Rhinolophus ferrumequinum: one gene and its partners. The protein of the gene in region 1 purifies or fractionates together with the protein of each later gene. This does not show direct contact. Links are inferred from orthologs where the notes say so. Each region holds a gene or a part of one and is shown on either strand. Other genes may lie near its edges. The genes, in order: CAPZA2, KIAA1671 and CRACD.

Region 1 (3,747 bases):
TAAAAGAATAAAAATGCTGTTGATTTACATCCAGTGAGGTCCTTGACCAAACTGTGTGGTTCATTCTCCGCACCATTTATCCTCAATAGAACACCCGCTTTTTTCTGCATGTTTCAGCAAGCTTCCCATTAGTTCTCTCCCTAAATGGACTATCTTTTCAACAGCATGGTTTCTGTTCACTTTCCATCCACAAGAAACAATGATTTGCACATTATGAACCCTTAGTAAATTACTTATTAATAGCGTTTTGCATGTGAACTCTCTAAGGTATTCTCTTGTGTCATTTATATGTAGCTGTCAGATTCATCTTTCTAGACATATTTCTGATGATGTTATATCACTGTGCAAAAGTTGTCAACTTTCTACTGAATAAAGTCTTTTTAATACATATTTTTATCGACAAAGAACATTGCATTCGTTTTAGGTATAGAACATAATGGCTAGTCTTAACTCCTGTCTAAACTCTAAGGTCTTGCTGCTCAGGATGGTGTCCAGGCCAACAGCATTGGCATTACCTGGGAGCTTGTTAGGAATGCAGATTCTCCAGCCCACCTTCCACCCGCTGCCTCAGCAAGTGCATCTTAACAAGATTCCTAGCCAGTTAAGCTTTGACTACATCATCACTTTCTTGCTAAACTTTAAGCTTCAGAAGTAGGGTTGCCAGATTTAGCAAAGAAAAATACTGATGCCCAATAAAATTTGAAAACATTTTTTTAATATATCTCAAATGCTTCATGGGACATATTTATACTTAAAATATATATTCATTGTTTATCTGAAATTCAAATTTTACTGGGTTTTCTGTATTTTATCTGGCAACCCGATTCTCAAGAGTAGGATCCATGTCTAAAACATAACTTTGTATTCCTCTGCAATAGTACGGTGCCTTCCCTAACTGTTCAGAGTAGGTTTGAAAACAGGTTTCTCTGGTTTTTGCTTAACATTGTGCAAGTGTATATGCATAGAGACTAATACAGTACCCGACACACCATAAAGGACCAATAAATGTTTCTTGAATGAATGAATGAATGAATATATCAAGAGCAATCTTTCAATTATGGACTGGGTTGTCTGCATATTTTAAGGAAAGCTAAGTGTTTTTCTAGCAATTTTTTTTAAAAAACAAAATGTTTAAAAAGCTTCTATTCGTACACTTTTCACATTTTAGCTGGCAGAGTTCAGGCCTTAATGGGAACATAATCAAGGGCTCAGGATGTACTTGTTGCAGACTGGGTCCATATGGTCACTGGTGGGAAAGAATCCCACACCCAGCACGCTGACAAGCTTGCAGCAGGCGGCGGTTGGCGACTCCTCCCTCTCCCGAGCCCCTCGAGGCTCTGCGCACGCGCCCCGCACTCCGGCCCCGCGGGCCGGGGAAAGGAGGCGGGGCTCCCTGGGCGCGTGCGCGGTGGGCTGGGCTCCTGGCCCCTCCCTGGCTGGGGCGCGCGCGGCGCGGAGGACCGCACAGAAAGGGGGAAGTCAGGTGGCTGCCGCCGCCGCCGCGGTTTGTCGCCAGAAGGAAAATGGCGGATTTGGAGGAGCAGTTGTCTGATGAGGAGAAGGTAAGAGCTGCGGGGGCGGCGGAGCCGGTCGGCCCGGGAGCCAGCGGGGCCCTGGTGTATAAGCCCGGAGGCTGGCCGCCGGCGAAGGGCATTGGTCTGTGCCCTCGGCTGCCTTTGCCCCCCTCTCCTCGCTGCGCCCAAGTGCCTGCCCCTGTCAGTCACCCGAGGCCCGCGCGGGGGCAGGTCTCCGCCTGGCCTGCTCGCTCCACTCCTTGTAGGGTGTGTGCTCTGAAAATAGGAAGCGGGAGCCGGGCGGCGGCGCCTGGCGCGACGGCCGGGCAGGCGGGCGGGGTCGCGCGGGGCAGCGGCGCGGGGACCCTCGCCCTGGGCCTGGGCAGCGGCCCCTGCGCCAGGTTGGGGGCTGTAAAGGGGTCTGCGGGCCGGCCTGCGAGCTTCCCAAGGGCACTGCCCAGCCTGACGGCCTGGCTGAATAGTGTAGCCGGGGTGAAGGGTAAGAGGCAAAAATCGCTTAGGAAGCAGACCTCGAGTTCTCCCTTCTAATCCCTCCGCCCAGTAGCAAAATGCTTCCCTTCCTGGTTCGCGACGCTTTTTTTCCTTTCCCGGTGGCAGTCTGCCTCTCTCTGATTTTTTTTCCTTTTCTTATTTCGTCTTTAGCTGTAGGCTTTGCAGCTTCCGTATTCCCTAGGAGGCCGGGGAGTTGCTCACCAGAAGACCCCTCCCCAGTAGTTTCCTGCCCAGGCTGGCAGCAGCCCTCGGGGGCTGGTTTGGTGGCGCCTCTGCGTCCTGCTAGGAATTCTGTCGAAGAGGGGAGATTGTGCAACTCCTTTTACTGTATCTTAAATGATGCGGCAGCCTTGGAACCAGATGAACGACTTAAGTTCTCAGGCATTTAACATAAGAAATCTGATCATTGAACTAGTTCTCTCTTATTTGCCGTTTCCTTTGGCGACTGTGAGGCCCCGTTCCCCAGTGAGGTGGGGTGGGGACCCTACTGATTTTGAGTATTTCCTGGAAAGGACCTTGAGGTTTCTCAAATTCAGAAGTAACTGACATAAATAAGATGGTTGTTGCAGTTTTTGAAGTGTCCACTCTTAATTTAACATTGTGGTTTTTTTTAAGTTCCAAAGCAGTACAGCCATGTAGGAAACACAGACGTGGTGTTTTAAGAAATCCTAATCCAAGCCTAAGGATACTTTTCAGTTCGAACTCTTCACTCCAAGTGTTTTTACATCCTGTGTTCTAACACGGAAATGTAATGTTCCATCTCCTTATGTCGGTGCTGAGGTCAGCCTCATCTTTACTGTTGGAAATCTTTTTTCTCTGTGCTTTTTGGTGAAAGTTATAATAAAACAACAAAATGAGGACCGCAACAAGATTCTCCATAACCCAGGGACCCGGTAGGCAGAGAGGTCCCTGTATACACAAAGTTGCTGTGCAGTTTTCACATGTGTATCATTGGTAAATCACTATATGTTGATAACTGAAAATGTATGCTCTTGTACACACACACACATTTAAAATTAAGTAGTGCTGAAAAGTTTGTTAAAAAGATTGTCATGTTTTTATTCCACCGTTCTTAAGTGGTTGGATGTAGCTCAAGTCGCTAGAAATCGCGATGAAGAGAGTACCCAGTGTGGAAGCTAATACAGACCAGCCAGGTGTTGGGAAGGCCTAAAATAGTGATGAGGTGACAACACTCCGTATTACCCCACACTCTCTGTGCCACACTCTCTGTGCGCTAAGCTCCATACAGGGGGGGGGGTGTCTAATTCTCTAAGCTTGCCCAGCGCAATGTTCTAAGAGGAAATGAATGAAAATTCTAATTTGAAGGAATTCGTTTTTGTTTTTGTTTTGAGTTTTGTAACACTATTCTATAGATATTTTGCATATAGATTTCATAGCTATATTTACTAATCTAAGAAAAATACTGACTAAACTTTTGAGTTAAATTCTAATATTGTCACTTTAGAAATATTCTTGTAATCTTTTGGGAGGAAGATGTTTGGTATGGAATCAGAGGATTTAAAGGTGATATTTTTAAGCTAATATTTAAATTGTGTTGCTCTTTCTGCCACATTGTAATTTTCAAAAATACGCTTTTAAGACTTTTAAGCTCTTGGAATTTCCATTATTGATTGCAGATGTAAGGAAATGAATCTGTTAATATTTATGTAGTACCATACTTTGCATGTATCTGGCTCAGTTAGACAATACGTTCATTTTT
Region 2 (3,747 bases), on another chromosome or scaffold:
TCCCCCTCGCTGTATAACTTTATTGAGGTCTGACTTACAATAAATGCACATATGATTTTAGGTCCTTGTTATTTATGCTCCCTACGTTTCCTTAGGAGCACGTATCACAAATGCAATTACATTTATTCGCACGATTATTGTTTACAACGTCTAAGCTCCACAAGAGCCTGGATGTTGCCAGCTGCTCCCCCACTGTGTTCCCAGCACCTGCGTAGCATACCGCAGATGCTTAATAAAGATCTATGGACTGAAATAAGTGAAAGCTAGCAAAACAGGCATTTTTCTTGCTCAGGGGCGACTCCCTACGATTCTCTCAGTTTAAGGCCTCATCCCGCAGCCCCCACGTCAACACAATGGCAGCAGGCGTGCCGGACAGTAGGCTCCGCAGAGAGGTGAACATGATCCGGCCAGGTGCAGACTTCCCCCTCCCGCCGCGAGGAGGCGCCAGCGCTTCGCGCAGACCCGGCTCGCTCCCGGGCGGGCACCCGCAGCCTAAGCGGTTCAATGGGCGAGACTTGACCAAGCGTCTCTTGAGGTCCCGGGCTGCATTAGGCTCTCGGGGGCGCAGACCGGGCGGCGGGAAGTTGTCCGTTGCGGGGAATCCCGGCCGGGGCCTGGGGGTCGCCCCGGGAACGCGGGCGGGCTCATGAACAACTTTTCGAACCGGGCGCAGAGAGATCGGAGCTCTGGGGTTGGGGGCGCTTCCGGGAGGAATGTCCTGGGCGGCCTCGCAACCTCTGACTCGCCGCGCTGTCCCTGGCCCCTGAGCCAGCGGGCAAGCGCCGGTCCGACCGTCCGCGCTCCGCCCCGGGGCCCTCCGCGCAGGCGCCGCCGGCCGCGGTTGCCACGGCGACAGGGGCGCTTCCCCGCCCGAGGCCCCGCCCCCAGCAGGGTAGGCTGCACGGGGCCGCCGGCGGCGAGGGCAGGTGCCGCGGGCTGCGGGCAGGTGGCGGCGCGGCGCGGGCCGGCGGCGGCGGCGGCTCCAGGGTAGGTTGCGCGGCGGCCGCGGGGGGTGGGGGCCGGCCATCCGTCCCTGTCCCCGGCCCGCGAGGGGGCTGGGGAGGCAGCGACCGACGATGGCCGCCAAGTTTCTGCTCGGCTGAGGCCCCAGGAGAAAAGTTGGCAAAGTTGGCGGGGGAAGAGGCTGGGACCCAGTGGATCTCCCCGGGCTCCGGGTCTGTGGGGAGGGGAAATCTTGATTTGGAAATCGGGAGATCCCGAGACTTGGGAGTGGATCCCGCAGGAAGATCCCGCACAGGGCAGCCAATGGATCCCGCGCTTCTCGGCTGAAGACTTGGGAGTAGGTCCCAGGAGGGGATCGGGCGCCAGCGGCCTGGGGTCCCATTCGGTCCCCAACCCCGGGTGACGGTGGACGGTGATTGGAGACTGGGAGCTAGTTGATTCCTCTTCCACGACGCTGGTCCAAGCCTTGGGAGTGGATTCCAAGAGTTGATCTGGTGGCTGGGAACTGGTGGATCGCTAGAGATCCGGGGTACCCAGCCTGGAGCTGCTAGGATCTCGACGTCCGTGCGGGTTGGAGGCCCCAGAGGTGGACACTGGGAAGCGCGGGTGCCGAGCGAGGCGGAGCCCGGGTGAAGGGATCCTGCGGGCAGCGGGGGCGGTGGAGAGAGAGCAGAGCGCCGGGCCCCCGGGCGCCGGGGATCCCGATGCGCCCTCCCCGCCCGGCCTGCACTTCCCTCCGCACGCCTTCCCAGGGCAGAGGCACCCTGATAGAATTAGGGCTCAATCTCCCCTGCTCCCAGGCGGGTTCGGTTGGTCCCCACCCCGCTGGTGGCGCCGCCAGGGGCTACAGGCGTGGCACTTGGGAAGGAAAGCGGCCCATTGACCCCCACCCAAGGCTGACCTGTCCACACCCTCCTGGCACACACTCGCCTCGGAGTCGGGGCGCCGCGCCCTGAAACCCTGCTTTGAGTCCGGTAGCGGTGCTTATGACCCCTGCGCGCCTCCCAGGTTGTCACGGCTTCCTGCCGCACGACTGAACTTTCGCTAGCCCGGAGCAGCCATTACCTTTTGGAAGGGAAAAGGCTGTACCTGTTGCACAAAGAAAGAGTTTTTTCTTTGCAGCTTATTTGTAACCTTGGACAAAACACTTAACCTCTGTGAGCCCAGGTCTCCTCTCTGGGCAAAATGGGGTGAGGGTGGGGATCACAACCTTCTCTCGTCTTTGGCTGGCAAAATTAGTAGGTATGATAGGTATGAAACAGGTAAGGGCTCTGTAAATATTAGTGGGTCCCCGTTTGTGGCCCCTCCTTTCCCACATCACATCCCCTGAGCTTCCCCTACGGTATCCGAGGGAAAGTTCTAGAAACCCAACTTGCTGACTTTTTAAACTGCAGGATTAGAGAGATGTTTAAGTTGGTCTTTCTTACAAAGAGGTTAATTGCCCCTCTGATCCTCCTTGCAGAGAGAAGCTCTAGGGTTTGGCTAATCAGTAACCAGGGCGTTTGGATGAGGCTTCTTCCTTGGCCCAGCTTTTCTTTTGTTAATCCACGGAGGCCCCTGGACAAACGTGCATTCACCCCCAGACACTGGCGTGTCAGCCCTGGGATTCCCTAGGGAGCTGTGCAGACATTAGCCCTGGTCTTGGTGGTGGTTTTGGGGGGAATCCTTTTTAAAGGATTTGCGTGCTGGACAAGGGTGCTGTTACCCCAGAGAAGTGCAGGATTTCAGTATAGTACCTGGGCACATGTTTCAGCTGGGCACAGGAGCCAGCTCATTCAGTCACCCAGTGTGTGTGTTGAGCACCTACTATGTGGCAAACACTATAGAAATGGTATGGCCCATGGCGGCATAGGACCTGTCCTCCTGGCATTACATTCCAGCTCTTTAGGAATCAGCTTGCCCTACAGTCCAGTGAGGCAACTGTGCTGGTTCTTGAAGTTGGGGGTGCAGCCCTCACCCCAGATTCTGAGGCTGGAGGGGCCTCACTCCCTTTGAGATCCTGGGGGCTGGCTTTTATTCAGGACTGACCTTGGCAGGAGAATAGAGCAGCCCACTGTCTGGCCCTGAGAATTTCTCCCTGCTCAGCATCACCAGAATACACCTCGACCATAAAGAAAGCCAGAAGAATATTTTAAGTATGAATTCATTCATTCATTCATTCATTCATTCATTCATTCATTCATTCTTAAGTATTTCAAGACACTGTCAAAGAAGGAAGCTAGCAATCACACACTAAGGGAAGGGTTAGTGGAAAGAGGCAATTGTCTAAAAGGGGAGAGAGCTATGATAATGGGAGGAGAGGCGGATGTCTTCTGGCTGGTGAGGGATGGGGGTCAAGGGGTTTAGTTTCTTGGAGAGTTTGCAGTGGGAAGAGGTTGGTGTTCTGGGCCGGAAAGAGGGAACAGAAGGGCCTGGATGTACGAGGGAGCATGCGGTGTTGGCAAATGTTGACGGGGGCCAGGTCAGCCATTCTCAGAGGTTTAGACTTTATTCCAGGGCGGTGGGGTGGGTGTTGTGGAAGTTTTTCTGCGGGAGGGGGATGGGGTCAGATGTGTGTTTTGGGAAGCTTGCACTGCTCTTGTGGGGAGGCTGGATTGGAGAGGGTACGCAAGGAGGCTGTGAGGCCAGTGAGGAGACTGCTAGAGAAATCCAGGTGAGAGGTGGTGGTCAATTGGATTTGGATAGAGATGTTAGTGTTATGTTTAGAGACCCACTCAGTTGAACACCCCTTTGAGGCATAACCTTCAATCTAGAGAAGGAACCCCCCACCCCAGGGGAGATGAC
Region 3 (3,747 bases), on another chromosome or scaffold:
ATGGCCAGGAGGGATTTACTAACCTTATGCCTGACTAATGGAAACTTTCAAAACGATGGTATACTTCAGTTTTCTCACTTTGGAGGTCAAGGCTGTTGGGAAGACACAACAGAGTCCTGAGGAATCCGCAATGAAGATATTTCTATACTACAATATTTCTATTACTTTAGCTTTTGCTTTTTTCTCTTTATTATGTGTGACTTTTATCTGCACAATCACTTTTTGTCCCACTCAGTTCCTTAGTCTCTTCTCCCAATGAAAGATCTTACTATTGTACTCCTTTCCTGAGCACTAAGAAAATGCAATGTGAATACAGAAATTATTAAGCAGACATGGCAGAGTACAGAATCAAGAGGCTTTGGAAGTCTGTGGTCTAACTCAGGGTTTTGCAACCTTGGCACTATTGACATTTTGAACTAGATAATTCTTGGTTGTGGGACAGTCCTGCACATTGTAGACTTTTTAGCAGCATCTCTGGCCTTTACCCACTAGATGCCAGTAGTCGCACTTGCCAACTAGTTGTGACAAACAAAACTGACTCCAGACACTGCCAAACATCTTCTAGAGGACAAAATTACCCACAATGGAGAACTACTGGTTTAACTATATAATTTCTTCCTCACATCCTTTCTGTAACCCCAATAAGCAGTTAAATGGTTAAATATTTTAAAAACTCCTAGTGTTCTCCATCTTTCTTTTGTATTGTATTATGCTCTCTGAAAATCTGTCTTAACTGATAGGCAGTTAGCTATTTCAAAAGTGGAATAGTGGACTGATACCTGGTGTGAGGTGCCACACTGTTGTTGCAGCCATGTATATAGCAACCATGAACCCATATGTTTGAAAAGCAAGGGAAAAACAGCACCCTGTCTAAAGTGTGGTCTGATTTCTGAGGCTCATAAGACACCAAGTCCAGCTAGAGAGCTCTAATGTAAGCATAAGTTCTCTAGAACTCTTTCAATATTTTAAGGGTGTGTAATTTGGGATATACCTTGCTTGGCAAAATTAAAAGGCAGTAGACCAATACCTGATTTATGTAAACTCAAATTTTTTATAGAGTATGTTTTCATGTCGTTGGCAAAACTATAATATATCAACAAAAAGACTTCAGGTATATGTTGTACACAGATTTAATTTTTTACTTTGGGGAACTTCTAGTGCTACTGTAGTAAATCCAAAGGAACTTGCTCAACACTTTATAAAACTCTTCACTAGTCTTTATTTGGAATAAAGTAGGCATACTTTAGGATATGTAAGCAATGAACAATTGAATGAAATCTGTATTTACAAAAATACACAACCTGGTATTAATTAAAATGTTTATCTGGAAAAACCCAGTTGGATAAGTAACATGTACTAGATTCTCCCAGTATCAAAGTTGTTCCTTCTAAGTCATGCACCTGCATTTGAATTATTAGTCCCGTGTTTCGCATTGAGACTTCTAGCTTATTAGGGTTACCTTTCATTGTTTGCATCTTTTGTCACTAAGGATTTTTTTGCTTTGTTTTAAATTTCCTGATTAGTAACAATACTAAATGCAGCATCTTTGCATGAATAACAAAGAAAAAGATCACCAAAAATTGATTTACAAGAGTTTCATTGAAATAGTCAAAGCAAAAAGTACGAAGGAAAAGTCTCAGTGTTTCCAGTTAGGCCACAAAAGGAAAAGACAAATATTTTCCTTAAAACATCAAAGTCACTATATAATTTCATTATGGCTAGGATCAATAATGTCCAATGGCAATGTCACTGTTGTGACGTACAGCGCTCAGCAAAGCGATTCCAAACTTCTCTATTTCTGTGTGGCATCTTTAAACTTGTTCGACTCTCAGGAGTCCCAGTGCCATTTCTCTGTCGGGGCTCTGCAGGACGAAACAATCTCTGGAGTCCGGGTCGCTTCCGTTAGTCTCTGGCTCATCCAGGTAACCAAGGGTCGGATTTGCATCGCGTGGGGTCGTGACTGGCGATCGCGGGTTCTTGCTCCACGTGAGCCTCCTGTGAACCCATCGCAGTAACCTCCGACCCCACGCGTTCAGCCACACCTCGGGCCATCCCCTTACAGTGGTGGGGAGGGCAGTGATCAACCCCACGCCCTTCCCTGCGGCCGGCTCCCGGTGTCTGGGCACCTCCTGGGAGGGGAGCAGTCTCGCGCGCGCCACTGCCGGAGGGCGCAAGAGGGAACTTGGGGCGTCGGGTGCCCCGCAGCGGCGCCCGGCGGAGTAGGGACGAAGCCGGGCGGGGCCGCGGCGCGGGTCCGAGCGCCCGAGGCGCCGGTGGAGCATGTGACCACGCCGCGCGGGGCCCGGCGCGCAGTGCCGCGCGGCGGCGGCGGCGGGGAGAGCAATGGAGGCCGCGGCCGCCTGAGAGGCGGGTGCGCTGCTGGTGCTGCTGCGGAGGCTGCTGGTGCTGCGGGGCAGCGGCGGGCTGGGCAGCGGCGGGCTGGGCAGCCGCGTGTGCCGCCCGCGCAGGACCACCCATCACCAGCCAGCTGCTCTGCGGGCCACGGCGCCAGGCGGAGACCTCAGGTGAGCGCCCTGACGGCCCGCGGCGGGAGCCAGACAATGGGGGCAGCGGGCGGGCTTCTCCCCTCCACTCACGAAACCCGGGGTCGGGCCCCCCCCCGGCGCCCCGGGATCCCCGATTTTGCCCTTGCTATGGGAGCGTGGGGTCTGCGAGGCGCGCGGTGGACTTTGGGGCGGTGTCTCGGCGTGTGCCGCGCGGACCCTCCCGGAGGAACCCGCGCGCGGTGTGAGCCGTTTGGGATCCCACTCGAGGGAACCTGCGGACATGCTGAGTCCTCGGGAACTTGCCGAGAGCGTGGGACCTTCTTATTCCTTCTCTCCTTCCCGCGCCGCGGCATGCTGTCCCGGGGTCCCCGGCTGGGGTCCCGGCTGCGGGTGGGGGCAGAGCGAGACTCTGGGATCTCGGACGCTGACCAGGGTCTGGGATCTCGGACGCTAGGATCTCTGGACTCAGATCTCGGACGCTGACCAGGGGCAGCCCTCTACCCCCGCATGCGCTGCATTGCTTTGTTTAACCTCTGCCAAGCCATTTCGTACCAACTCTTGTTGCCCCAATTCTGATGAGCCCCCGGTTTGATGGCTAAGATAGGACAAAGGTTTTCTCTGTTTACCAAGGGCTGGAGCCGGGAGATTGCACGCTTCCAATGGTGTAAAATGTGTTTTCCTTATCTTCTCCCAGGGTTTCTGGCGATGGTTTTCCTGGTTCTATAACCGTCCTTTCTTGCAGAGCTCTGTAGTGGCGAGATTACACCTAATCCTACGGATACGGTGGGTGGGGTATGGCTTTTATTCATGGTTATCAGTAAACAGAAGGGCAGACGTTTACATTTTATATTAAATGTTCTCAGAATAGACGCATCGGAATCATTTGCTGAATTCTGGATTTTAAGAGCATATGTATATTTAAAGACACGTTGATTCCGTGGGTGTTGGGAGGAGGGACAAAACCTAGTAACTACGACCATGTGTTGTGAAATTTTAATAGAGTTTTATGAATAATAATCCGGAAACTGATCTGGTGTAGGGGTGTGTGTGTGTGTGTGTGTGTGTGTGTGTGTGTGTCTGTGTGTGTGTATGTGTGTTGGGGATCGTGGTGATGCAGAGGGAGTGGTTAGAATACAAAGGATAAGGCAGTTTTAGTAAAAGATTCTTAGTAAATATCCTGCAGCAAATTTTCAGCTCATTAAGTTGTCATTAAATCATCGTTTCCCTGTAAAAATCACCT

Evidence for each region.
Region 2: the proteins of CAPZA2 (region 1) and KIAA1671 purify together in Homo sapiens (affinity purification with mass spectrometry; 3 studies listed by BioGRID and IntAct, counting the BioPlex papers as one, with this or other methods). This does not show direct contact. The link is inferred for Rhinolophus ferrumequinum from reciprocal best matches to the Homo sapiens genes CAPZA2 and KIAA1671.
Region 3: the proteins of CAPZA2 (region 1) and CRACD purify together in Homo sapiens (affinity purification with mass spectrometry; 3 studies listed by BioGRID and IntAct, counting the BioPlex papers as one, with this or other methods). This does not show direct contact. The link is inferred for Rhinolophus ferrumequinum from reciprocal best matches to the Homo sapiens genes CAPZA2 and CRACD.

What each region holds. Positions count from the first base shown.
Region 1 is NC_046309.1:26,073,913-26,077,659, reverse strand, and holds the start of CAPZA2 (F-actin-capping protein subunit alpha-2), read left to right. Parts: upstream 1-1,418; 5' UTR 1,419-1,523; coding exon 1,524-1,562; intron 1,563-3,747. UniProt on the Homo sapiens protein: F-actin-capping proteins bind in a Ca(2+)-independent manner to the fast growing ends of actin filaments (barbed end) thereby blocking the exchange of subunits at these ends.
Region 2 is NC_046308.1:15,425,565-15,429,311, forward strand, and holds the start of KIAA1671 (uncharacterized protein KIAA1671 homolog), read left to right. Parts: upstream 1-928; 5' UTR 929-987; intron 988-3,747.
Region 3 is NC_046288.1:17,993,985-17,997,731, forward strand, and holds the start of CRACD (capping protein-inhibiting regulator of actin dynamics), read left to right. Parts: upstream 1-1,311; 5' UTR 1,312-1,922; intron 1,923-2,403; exon of another isoform or gene 2,404-2,525; intron 2,526-3,268; exon of another isoform or gene 3,269-3,290; intron 3,291-3,747. UniProt on the Homo sapiens protein: Involved in epithelial cell integrity by acting on the maintenance of the actin cytoskeleton. Positively regulates the actin polymerization, by inhibiting the interaction of actin-capping proteins with actin.